3 linked regions of the Pelodiscus sinensis genome follow. The main gene of each other region encodes a partner of the protein of the gene in region 3 in a complex. Links are inferred from orthologs where the notes say so. Each region holds a gene or a part of one and is shown on either strand. Other genes may lie near its edges.

Region 1 (3,746 bases), on a different chromosome or scaffold from region 3:
GTGCAGGAGTGTTAGGACTATGGCTGGGAGTTTGGGCTCTCAGGTAAGGCTGGGGATAAGCAGCTTAGGGCTTGTTCACCAACAGAAAGAGAGTTGGGGTGCAAGAGCTCTGACGGGGGGTGCAGGCTCTGGGATGGAGTAAGGGAAAAGGGACTTAGGGCTTCAGCAGAAGGCTGGAGTGCAGGGGTGTGAGGGCTCTAGATAAGGGTCCATCTAGACCCTTGAGGTTTGGCTGGGTTTGGGAGGGATTCAAAGTGGAGGGTGCTCCGGGGCTACTTCATTGAGAGACGACTCTCCCGGCTCTCTCTTCTTGCAGCAGCATCTGGGCTGGGAGAGTAGGACAGCACCTCTCCTGGCAACGGCATAGCAGGAGGTGGGGTGGGCTGCTGTAGTATAATTGGGGCTGGTTCAGGACTGGACAGACCCAGCAGGTTGGCACAAAAGCTAAACTGGGCCTGGGATGGCCCTTCCCCAGCTGCTGCAGGGCCTTCCTAGAGACCTTGTGTAGTGCTAAATAGGGACATGCGTGACCGCTTGGCCATGCAGTTTACAGGAAACTTAGAAGATGGTTAAGAAACCTCATATGAAGTATCTTAGCAAAGAGCAGCCACCAACATAGCACTTACTTGTGTATCTCTTGTCCTGGTAAGTGGCTCCTGTCCAGTCTGCAACCTAATAAAAAAGACAACAGAAACAAACTTGTTGAGCGTGTGTCATCCAACATCTTATACTCTCTTTTGCTCCACAATCTCTTAATTCACTCAGCCACTCAGCAACAGCAAACAGTGCTTTCTATTCCAGAGTCACACTTACAATCATCTTATAACAATCAATATTCTTTCAAACTTCTTGCTTTGCTTATGCACACTATCAAGAGGTCTTGGTTCATACAACACCTGCAACAGGGATAAGGAAGCTATAGGGAGTGGAGCACCAATGTGTGTGTAGAGGCATTATTAGGAACAGTATAGGACTAAGACAGCAAATATGATAAGAACAGCTAACAGGAATTTCCAAGTAGCCTAACATATGGGCATTAACTGATTACTCCAGTGATTTATTTAGTAGTGTTAGCACAGGTACCTTTCCCAGACGATCCCCTTTGCTGAAGGGCTGATATGGCATATCTTTGAACTGCTCTGGAACAGCACATGGACCCCACCCGGAGGGGTTGTCCTGGATCACAGGCGTCATGAATTTAGCCATCTTCTAAAATCCTTGGGAAAAAAAATGGGGTGGAGGTAGTTCAAGTGTTTGGAACATTTTAACTCTACAAAACTGCTGGGAAACTTCATTGGATACTAATGAGCAATGACAACCATTCAAAAGACAATAGGTGGTACCACTTTTAATGGCCACAAACACAGAGAAAAGTTCGTAGGGCTAGGATCATTTCCCAGAATTTCTGGGGTTAAGGAAAAGGTGAAGGTGTCAGCTCTAACAGCACTGTCGGTATGCAATAGAATAATTACTTTCCTGTGTACGAATCTCCTGAACTGAACTGTTAGACAAAACTGAACAAGACAAGTGCCTGTCTGTGACCAATATAAAAAGCCCTGGAAAAAGGTTTCATATCTCTCTTTACTGTGCATAATAGCACAATTACTTCCCAGATGGATTTTTCTTTCAGACCACACCCATGCCTTTATGCTTGAGGATCTACTATTTTTATACTTATTGTCCTAGCTAGCATCTGTGAAGCAGCTATTCTTATTCCCAAAAATATCTAATCCTGTGTCATCAAGACCCAGCTCCTCAAAGGGATTTAGGCCCTTCTCACTCAAATCAGGAGGTGCTAAGCTCCGAAACACCCTCCAGGACCTGGGCCTACGTGCTCGGCCATGTGTAGATCCGGCAGCAGCGAGTACCGCAGGTTGGAGACAAGCCGTGAGCCAGCAGGGCCCGGCTGTGAGGCTGCGGGAGCCGCGCCTGGGAAACAGGGGCCAGCCGAGGGGACGGGCGAGCAGCCCAGGGGGGGAGCCGGGCCCGGGCCCAGACAGGGTAGAAGCCGCGCGCTCCCGCCCCGGCAGGCCCGGCGAGGCGGTGTCTGGCCTGGACGTCCCGTGGCCAAGGCGGATCCGGGCCCCACAGACTCCAAGTCGCGCGCGCGGCCGCGCGGGCCTGTTCCGGCCGGAGCCCTGCGCGCGCCCCTCACCTGTGCGGGCCCAGCCGGGTCCCGATGGAGGCGGATGCGGGTCGGGGGGGGGTGAAGGCTGCGGGAGAACCTTAGCTAGGGTTACACGCCGGCGCGCACCGCCCGCCACGTCATCACCCCGCGCCGCCCCCGGACGCATCGTCGTAAAAGCAAAACAGGGCTATTCCGCCCTGTGGGGGAGGCGAGCGAGTTGCCGTAAAGCACCAAAGTGGGGGAGGAGAGCGAGTTGCCGTAAAGCACCAAAGTCCGCTCCCCCCGGCTGCCGCAAGGAGGCCGGGTCGGGCCTGGCTCCGCTGCTGGGGCTAAGCGAGCACCCGGGTGGTTGGGGGCAGGGCCGGTCGAAGGCCCCACGAGTGTGGAGCCGCCTCATCCTTGTGCCTCGGGGCCGCTGCTGCAACCGCGCCCGGCCTGTCCGCAGCGCGCTCCGAGAGGCTCCTGCGGGGTGAAGCGGGGCGGCAGCCCAGGGTGCGGGGCGAGCCCGTTCAAACGGGTCCCGGCGGTGGGTTTGGGTTACACGCGGCGCCCGCGGCGGGGCCTGGGGATGGCGCTTTTCGCATCTCTGGCTGCCGTGGCTGGACGTGAACTGCCGCAGGAATTCGCTCATTGGGGTGGGTGAGCGGGGCTCCTCCAGGCTGCCAGCTGGGGCTGTTCTACATTTCAGAGAGGGAGCCTGCGCTAGTTCTTATCCGCTAATCGAATAGTCGATGGAAATCAATTAGTTAATCAATATTTAACGTCCCTAGTAAGAACGGCCATACTGGATCAGACCACTAGTCCGTCTTCTGGCAGTGGCTATTGTCAGGTGCTTTGGAGGCAATGAACAGAAGAGGGCAACGTCTAGTGATCCATCCCTTGTTGCCTAGTCTCACCCTCTAAGCAGTTGGATGTTTAGGGATATTTGGACCATTTTGGCTAATAGCCATTGATGAACCTATCATTAACGTATCTAGTTATATTTTTTTTAACCTAGTTGTAATTTTGGCCTTCACAACTTCCTGTTCCACAGGTTGACTGTGCCTTGGGTGAAGTACTTTCCTGTTTTTTTTTAAAAACCTGTTGCCTATTATTTTTGTACCCTAGTTGTGCTGTCTGAGGGGTAAATAACACTTCCTTCCTGAATTTTTTCACAGCACTCATGATATAGATCTCTATCATTTCCCACCTTAGTTGCCTTTTCTCAGTAAAACAGTCCTCACTTTAAAAATCTCTCCTATGGAAACTGTTCCATATTTTTAATACTTTTGATTGCCCTTGTTTGCACCTTTTTAAATTGTAATATATCTTTTTTGAGATGTGATCAGAATTGCACACAGTATCTAAAGTATGGGTGTATTATGGATTTATATAGTGGCATTATAGTATTTTCTGTTTTTAATTTCAATCCCTTTCATAATAGTTCCTGACATTATTAGCTTTTTTTAATTGTTACTGCGCACTTAGAAGATATTTTCAGAGAGCTATCCACAGTGACTCCAAAAGGATAATTTCGATTCCCTCCATTTTGTCTGTATAGTTGGGATTATTTTTTCTAATGTGCATTACTTTGTGCTTATCAACAATTAATTTCATCTGCCATTTTGTTACTCAGCTG
Region 2 (3,746 bases), on a different chromosome or scaffold from region 3:
CGCTGGGTCCCATTTCTGTTTCAAAACTGAAGTGGAGGAGGGAAAGCTTCAGGAGTTGCCCTCAGCCCCAGAACAATCACATTGACCGGTTTCTAGCCACAAACTTGTCAATGGGAGCCGCCTATTGAACAACAGCCCGCCAAGAAAAACTATGACCCCTCTCCTCAGCTCAGTTATTCATACAAGCACATGGCCAGGCACACAGTGGCTGGCCAGAAAAAGTTTTAACATCTGCAAGCCTTAGCTCTGCAGGAAGGCAGACTGGTTTGGCTACTAGCTGGTAAGTCTTCTGGCCAGCGCCTGCCTCTGGCACTCCAGCCCCTTATTCCCCAACCCTCTGCTCCCCCAATCAACAGTCCCAAATCCTTTGCTCTCCTCCTGCACCCATACCCACTCCCAGATCTGGCACCCCAATCTCCTGCCCTAGATCACAATCCCCTTCTAACCTATGTCACATCCCAAACCCATGCACTCCAGTCCCCCCCTTAGGTCAGCCACTTACGGATGTTAAATTTTGATTAATTAACTAATCAAATAGTTAATAGGATTTCCATTGACTATTTGATTAGTCGATAAGGACTAGTGTAGCGACCCACCTTTGAAATGTAGAGGCTCTTGTGCATTTCAAAGATTGAAATGTTACCTGGAGCCCGGGGCCAGCTGGGAGTCCCCTACTGACCCTGGGCTCCATGCAGGCACCTCCACTTTGAAATGTACAAGAGCCCTAGCGGGTAGCGGAAGTACCCACATGGAGCCCAGAGTCAGTGGGGGACTCCCCACTGGTCCCAGGCTCCACGCAGTGTTTCAATCTTTGAAATGTACAAGAGCCCCAGAAGGGACTCTTGCACATTTCAAAGTTGGAACACCACCACTATGCCCCTGCCCTCACCCACGGAGCTGGGGGGAACCGGCTTTTAAGACAGCTCCTCCTCCTCTCCCCCCTTCCCGCCTGCTGCCTCTTTGTGATAGAGGGAGCAAGGGGGGAGGGTGGGGAGAGCGACTAATCGACTAATGTATCAACTATCCGATAAGTTTTTGCTTATCAGATAGTAAATTAGTCGCTTACATCCTTACAACCACCTCCTTCACCCAAATTCCCTCCTGGAGTATCGGCTACTCGCCCTCCCCCTGCTGCCTCTATTAGAGGCACCAAAGCAGGGGGACAGGAATGGGGAGAGCCAGTTTAAGAGCTGATTCTCCCCAGCACTGTCTCTGCAGTGCTATTTGCCCCCCACCCCATTTGCCTCCCACTCCATCAGAGGCAGTGGCAGCGGGAGGGGGGAAATGAAGCTCACTGCAGGCAGAGGCTGCTCCAGCAGCAGCCTTTGTCCACAGGGTTCCAGTGGGGAGTTGGGCTCCTCTGCGGACAGAGACTGCTGCCACCAAGCAGCCCGTTTGCAGTGGCCTGGGTGCATGCAGGGGCTGCTCTGGCAGCAGCCCGTGGCTGCAGCCAGCCCTGTCTGCCATGAAAAGAGGCTGCTCTGCCACCAGCCCATTCTCAGTGGAGAAGGCTGGCCGCTGCGAACAGGGGCTGCTGGACTCAACACGAGCCAGGGCCAAGCAGTCCTGGTGGCTCTTACTACATTTAAAATGCAGAGCTGTGGTGCAGGTGGTTCCCACAGCTGGCACAAGCCAGAACTGCTCAGTCCTGTCTCAGGCCAGCTCTTTTAACTACTCCCTCTGTGGTTCTGCAGAATGGTCCCTATCGACGAATCACGTAATCGATACAAACTGTATCGACTAACGATTAGCCAAACAACTGCCATTTAACACCCTTTGTTGGGAGTGCACAAAACAAATCAGACTCCTGAAAGGGACACAGGTCTCTGGAAAGGTTGAGAGCCAGGCCTCCGACCAACAAACCCCACACAAGAAGGCAGAGAAACAACCGGGGAGGTGGGGTGGAGCGAGACCTTCCCACAAGCTGGATAGGCAGTCACGTGACAGTCCTCTCTTTGGCTAGTTCTAGCTCAGGGACACGCGGGCTGGAAGGGGTCTGGCCGGGGGGGTCTGGGGCAAGGGAGGGAAAACGCGGCGCCCTGGCCCGGCCGCGCCGCAGGACTCACCTGTGTGCATGTCATAGTCACCCGGGTACGTGTAGGGGTCGTAGGAGGCCTGGGGGGAGAAACAGACGCAGAGGGGGGGGCGTCACCCGAGAGCTCAGCTACGCGACGGGCCCTCCCCCCGCCCGGGTCCCTCACTCAGCAGCCGGCGGCGGGTGCTGCCGGTCGGGCCACCACGTCCCGGGGTGGGGGTGGGGTGGGGGAGCCGGGTACCTCGGTGTCGTAATCCTCGGCCGGGTAGGCCATGGCGGGGCTCGGCACGCGGCAGGGGAAAGGCTCAGGCCGGGAAGGCAGCTTCTTCCGGTAGCGAGCCGGAAGCAGCAGCGGCCGCACCAGGCGGAGGGGCGGGGCTTCTGCGGCGGGAGGCGGGCTCAGGGCTTGGCTAAGGCTGCAGGGGGAGCGTTCGGCTGGGCGGGCGAGTGGGGCTGGGGCGACGAAGCATGTTGGGGTGACGGGCGGGTGTAGCCGGGGCGGAAGGACGTATCTGGGGTAACAGTCCAGCTTGGGGTGACAGGCAGGTGTACCTGGGAATCACAGAGCATGTTGGGGAAACGGGGCGGGTGTAGCTGGAGTGACGGGGCATGTTGGGGTGACGGGGCGGGCGGGTATAATTGGGACGACGGGCCAGTTTGGGGTGACGGGCAGGTAGGTGTAGCTGGGGTGACGGGGTGATGAGCGGATGTAGCTGGGGTGTTGGGGCGGGAGGGTGTAGCCGGGAGTGACGGGTCATGTTGGGGTGCGGTCGGAAGGGTATAACTGGGGTAACGGGCTGGGGGGTGTCGCTGGCGGTGACGGGGCATGTTGGGGTGATGGGCGGATGTAACTGGAGTTTGGGGGGGAGGGTGTACCTGGGAGTGACAGGGTGGGCGGGTGTTACTGGGGTGACGGAGGAAGGATGCATCTGGGGTAACGGTCCAGGTTGGAGTGACAGACAGGCGAGTGTAGCTGGGAGTGACGGGGCAGGAGGATATAACTGGGGTGACGGTCCAGATTGGAGTGACGGGCAGGTGGGTGTAGGTGGGGTGTTGGGGCGGGAGGGTGTAGCCGGGAGTGACGGGGCATGTTGGGGTGACGGGGTGGGCGGGTGTAGCGGGGGACGACGGAGACGTGAAGGTGACAGGGCGGGCGGGTGTAGCTGGGGTGACAGGGCATGTTGGGGAGACCGGGCGGGGGGGCGGTGACTGTTTGGGGAGTTGCCCCCCCCCCCTTCCTCTCTCTAAACCCCGATCAAACCTCATTTACTTCTCCGAGAGCCCCACTTCCCTGAGGGACGGCTGGCTCGCATTGGCCAGTTCTTTCATTGGGTGAAATAAATGCCTGTCATCCTCAGGCTGTCTGCGATTGGCTGCTGCGTGGTGACGCTCCTCTATTTGGACGAGGCCTTTGGCTGTCGTGTATGTGTTTCCCTCCCGCCTTACTCCTCCCCTCTCCCCGCCCCGTTGTGATTGGTGGCCTGGTGCTGGAGTCTGTGACTGGAGAAATTGGTCCCGCCTCTGGCGGCCCGCCCTCGTTACCATGGTTACTGGTTCGGCCCGCCCCCTGTCAGCGCGCCCGGGCCCGAAGCTGGGAGGCCGCGCGGGGGCGGCGGGCATGGACGGCGGCGGCGGCGCTGGCGGGCCCGGGGCGGACAAGGAGCCGAGGCCCCCGGGGAGCGGGTTCGCGCTGCCGGAGTTCGGGGCCGCG
Region 3 (3,746 bases):
TGCATCCACACACCAGACAGCTCCCGTGTGGCCATTGTAAGTGCCAAGCCTCTCCCCATTGACCGAGTACCAAACATTGACAATCTGGTAATGCAAAACAATTGGTCAAGGATCCATGTTTGATCAAACTGCTAAATAAATGAACGTAATTTACTTCCATATGGTCTCATCTTTGAGTATTTCAAGTTATCTCACTGCACATACAAGTAGGACTACATGTGTTATAACCTACATTACAGGCAGCATCACTAGAGATAGTAGGACAGGAATGTCAAAAGGTGGAGAGGTCAGATTGTAGGAGAACGAATGAGGATGGTCACAGGGAATATGGTGCACTCTTCGTGTTGAGAGATACTATCACTAAATGCATGGCAACAGGTATTTTATAAATGCAGTTAAACAGAATGTATGTTGAAAAGCAGGCAGTGATGGTTCTCTTCAGGGGCCTGGAAATAGTATTTAAAAATGGGAGTGGGATTACTGCCTAAGGTGGAACACAGGGAGAGGAAAAAAAAATATGCTGCTCAAGTAAGACTGAGGAGAGACAGAAATGCTAGGTGTGGAAAACTACTATATGAAACATCCTGAAGAGGAAGCAGGTTGGTTTTGTACTAGACCTTGAACTGAACAGGAAGCAGCAAAGATTTCTCGGAATGGGAATACACTTTTTTCAGGTATAGGGAAAGAGAAGTACCTCCAACACCCTGGAGGAAAGGGATTTTCAGACTATATAGATGATAAAATACAGTTAAATTTCCAATTTTTATACAAACTCTCTGTAACAGGGCATACCCGCTATAAGTTGCCCTGGTACATCCACTCCACACTAAAGTCATTGACACTTGTAGGAACTGATGCGTTGTAAGTCCTCCAATTCCCCGCTCTTAAATTGAGCAACCCCACCCCCACCCCCACCAATTTGCACAAATGGAAGTCAGCCGCGGGAAAAAAATTCCATACTTTAAGTTGTTTTGCTACAAGTCCAAGTTTTTTGGAATGTATCTTGGACTTACAGCGAGGACTGCCTGTAATAACTAGTTAACAAAAAACTGACACCACCTCAGCTACAGGGCTATGATGCATAACCATAATATTAAACTGGCTGCTAGAAGTTTCACTTTTTTAGAATCCAGTTTAAACTTCCTCCTAAGTTTGAGAGACATGAAACAGTTAATCAAAGACTCAGAAATACTTACAGGATCTTTAGCTACTGTAAAGAGTAGGTCTCCTTCTCGGTTATATTTGATTTGAGTAATGGACCTCTCATGACCTTGCAATAGTATAGGTTTCTAAAAAGGAGACAGAATTTTTTTTTTAAATCCAGTATTTTAAAATAAAACACACCTTCGGGCTTTGTGATTTGTGCAAATACATGAGTATAGAGTTTCCACCAAACACAACTGAAGCTAGTCCATTTACTCGTATTTCAATGTTTTATCCATTGAAACCTGCATTGGAAAACCTCATCTTCCCGAAGATTCAACTTTAGCAGAGTCCAGAGTCCTCAAACCACGCAGCTTTACTGGCTGTTTATTTTCCCAGGCTGCTAGGTTTCACTGAGTAGCCCTGGAAGGGGACCTGTCATTTAATAAGGCCCAATGCGCCAGCAGGCTGGAACGAGGATGACTGGGGATTGAATTCATCTCACAGATGCGTAGGGCCAGGAACAACTTCAGGAGGTGGCTAACCCCACCCAATAAGAAGGCTTTACCCCCCCAGCGTTTCTTCACCTTATGGGTGGGAATCCCAGCGCAGCAAGGCCCTAGAGCAGGGGTTCTCAACCTTTTTCAGTCCCTGTACCCCCTTGGCTTTTAGTAAACCTTCCCGTACCCCCTATTCAATATGAAAGGAAATAAATTCTAGACTCTAGAATCCACCAACTTTTTTCACTCACACGACCACTTAGGGAATATTTCAATTAGGATAATGTAGTTATTTACCAAATATTCCCTGTACCCCTTGACACGCTTCTCCTACCCCCTAGGGGTACGCGTACCCCAGGTTGGGAACCCCTCCCCTAGTGGCTCCTCACCGGGACCCAGCAATGTACTTGGGGCGGCAGCAGGTGCCGGTGTTACACTGGGAACTCCCCGCTGGTGTTTCCATAAAGAGGGGAGGAGGCAGCCGAGGGGATCGGGGGGGGGGGGGGGCAAGAGCGCTGGGGCCACCATAACGGGGGAATGGGCTCCAAGCCAAACAGAAGGGAGAGCCATGATGCCGCGGGGAGGGGCGGCGGGGGGCGGGGAGGGGGGCGGGAGAGGCAGGACACTGAGAGGACGGGAGGGGGGAGTGGTGGGGGGGATGGGCTCCGGGGGGGCAGGACGCTGCGGGGAGGGGCGGGGGGCTTGCGGGGGGAGCGGACGGGCGGGGGGAGTGGTGGTGGTGTGGGGGGGGGATGGGCTCCGGGGGGGGGCAGGACGCTGCGGGGACGGGCTCGAAGGAGCGGGGGGGGGGGGGGACCGAGGCAGGACCCGACGTGGGGGGAGGGGGAATTCTCCCCCCCCCCCCGAGACTCCGCCTCCTCCCGACCAGGCCTGCCCGGCCCCAGCCGCCCCTCGGCCCCGCACTCACCATGGCGACCGCTCACAGCCCCGGCCCAGTCACAAGCTCCGCGTGACAACAGGAAGGAGGAAGAACCACATCCGGGTCAGGGGGCGCGGCCGGGCCGGAAGTGGAGCGGAGCCGGCATGGCCTCCGCGGGTGAGTTTCCTGCTTCCGGGAGTCATGACAGGCGCTCGGGCAGCGCGCGGCTCCCCCCGGGGCGGGGTCTCTGCAGCTGGGGGCGGGGCACAGGGGGAGGGGCGGGGCACAGGGGGGAGGGGCGGGGCTCCTTGTGGGGTGGGGGGAGGGGTGCTAGACGGTCCCTGTGGTGGGACACTGGGGAAGGGGATTTCCAGCCCCCCCCCCCCCGCGGGAAGGTGAGAGTCAGGGTGTCCTCAGTGGCAGGGGTGCAGGGGAAGAGGCTGGTCGGAGGGTTCCCCAGTGCTGGGGCCTGGGGGGGGCTCACTAAAGGAAGAGCGGGCAGCCCCCCCCCCACACACACACTGTATGACATTGACAAGGTTTCCCATCTGGAGACCACAGGAGGACCTAAGGCGCTTCACTGACCTTCTATACACAAACACCCGCTTATTCACTGAGCCGGGGGCAGCAGCCTCTCAGGACATCACCTTTAAAGGGCACCATGATGGAGCCAGGCCTTTTAAAGCTGCTCAGCTCCTTTTGCTCACCATACGCGTGTTCTGGACGAAAGCACAAATGATTCATGGTTCCAGGCTGGTGACATTGGGGGAGTGCCAGAAATAGGAAGTGAGTTGTTCTGGGTGCCAGCACAGCTCTAGCCAGTACGGGCTGAGTCACAGTAAACTGCTATTAAGACCCATAAAGTAATGCAGTCAAGCCCAGTTTTCTGACCGTTGAACCTGTTTTCATAGACTGGAATAATCTGTAATAATAAATAGACAGAAAAAGAACTGCGGCAGAAATAAATGTATGTAATAAACCTGTGTGACCATGACATAGTAATGTTTATTGCAAAACCCTGCACTGTCAGCAGCATTCAAACAGGTCTGTCCCGTCTTCTGCAGTATTCTAAAATACATAATGCACCATAAAAGCTCAGAGCTTTTTAGCATCTGACATTCATTTGTGGTTTGCAAATGTGATGTCTGGGCTAAATGTGATAATTGGGCTAGAGCTGGTAACAACACAGTTAAGGTTGTTTGTTATTTACTAAACACTGTATT

What was found.
Region 1: EIF3I (region 3) and EIF3D share a complex: the UniProt entries of both Homo sapiens proteins name them as parts of the eukaryotic translation initiation factor 3 (eIF-3) complex. The link is inferred for Pelodiscus sinensis from reciprocal best matches to the Homo sapiens genes EIF3I and EIF3D.
Region 2: EIF3I (region 3) and EIF3L share a complex: the UniProt entries of both Homo sapiens proteins name them as parts of the eukaryotic translation initiation factor 3 (eIF-3) complex. The link is inferred for Pelodiscus sinensis from reciprocal best matches to the Homo sapiens genes EIF3I and EIF3L.

What each region holds. Positions count from the first base shown.
Region 1 is NC_134711.1:93,331,305-93,335,050, reverse strand, and holds the start of EIF3D (eukaryotic translation initiation factor 3 subunit D), read right to left. Parts: upstream 2,310-3,746; 5' UTR 2,156-2,309; intron 1,218-2,155; 5' UTR 1,207-1,217; coding exon 1,084-1,206; intron 673-1,083; coding exon 627-672; intron 1-626. UniProt on the Homo sapiens protein: mRNA cap-binding component of the eukaryotic translation initiation factor 3 (eIF-3) complex, a complex required for several steps in the initiation of protein synthesis of a specialized repertoire of mRNAs.
Region 2 is NC_134711.1:92,209,225-92,212,970, forward strand, and holds the start of EIF3L (eukaryotic translation initiation factor 3 subunit L), read right to left. Parts: upstream 2,426-3,746; 5' UTR 2,310-2,425; coding exon 2,277-2,309; intron 2,116-2,276; coding exon 2,067-2,115; intron 1-2,066. Other genes in the region: ANKRD54 (ankyrin repeat domain-containing protein 54), read left to right, coding at 3,579-3,746. UniProt on the Homo sapiens protein: Component of the eukaryotic translation initiation factor 3 (eIF-3) complex, which is required for several steps in the initiation of protein synthesis.
Region 3 is NC_134735.1:3,624,114-3,627,859, reverse strand, and holds the start of EIF3I (eukaryotic translation initiation factor 3 subunit I), read right to left. Parts: upstream 2,620-3,746; 5' UTR 2,575-2,619; coding exon 2,572-2,574; intron 1,290-2,571; coding exon 1,197-1,289; intron 85-1,196; coding exon 1-84. Other genes in the region: TMEM234 (transmembrane protein 234), read left to right, coding at 2,688-2,700. UniProt on the Homo sapiens protein: Component of the eukaryotic translation initiation factor 3 (eIF-3) complex, which is required for several steps in the initiation of protein synthesis.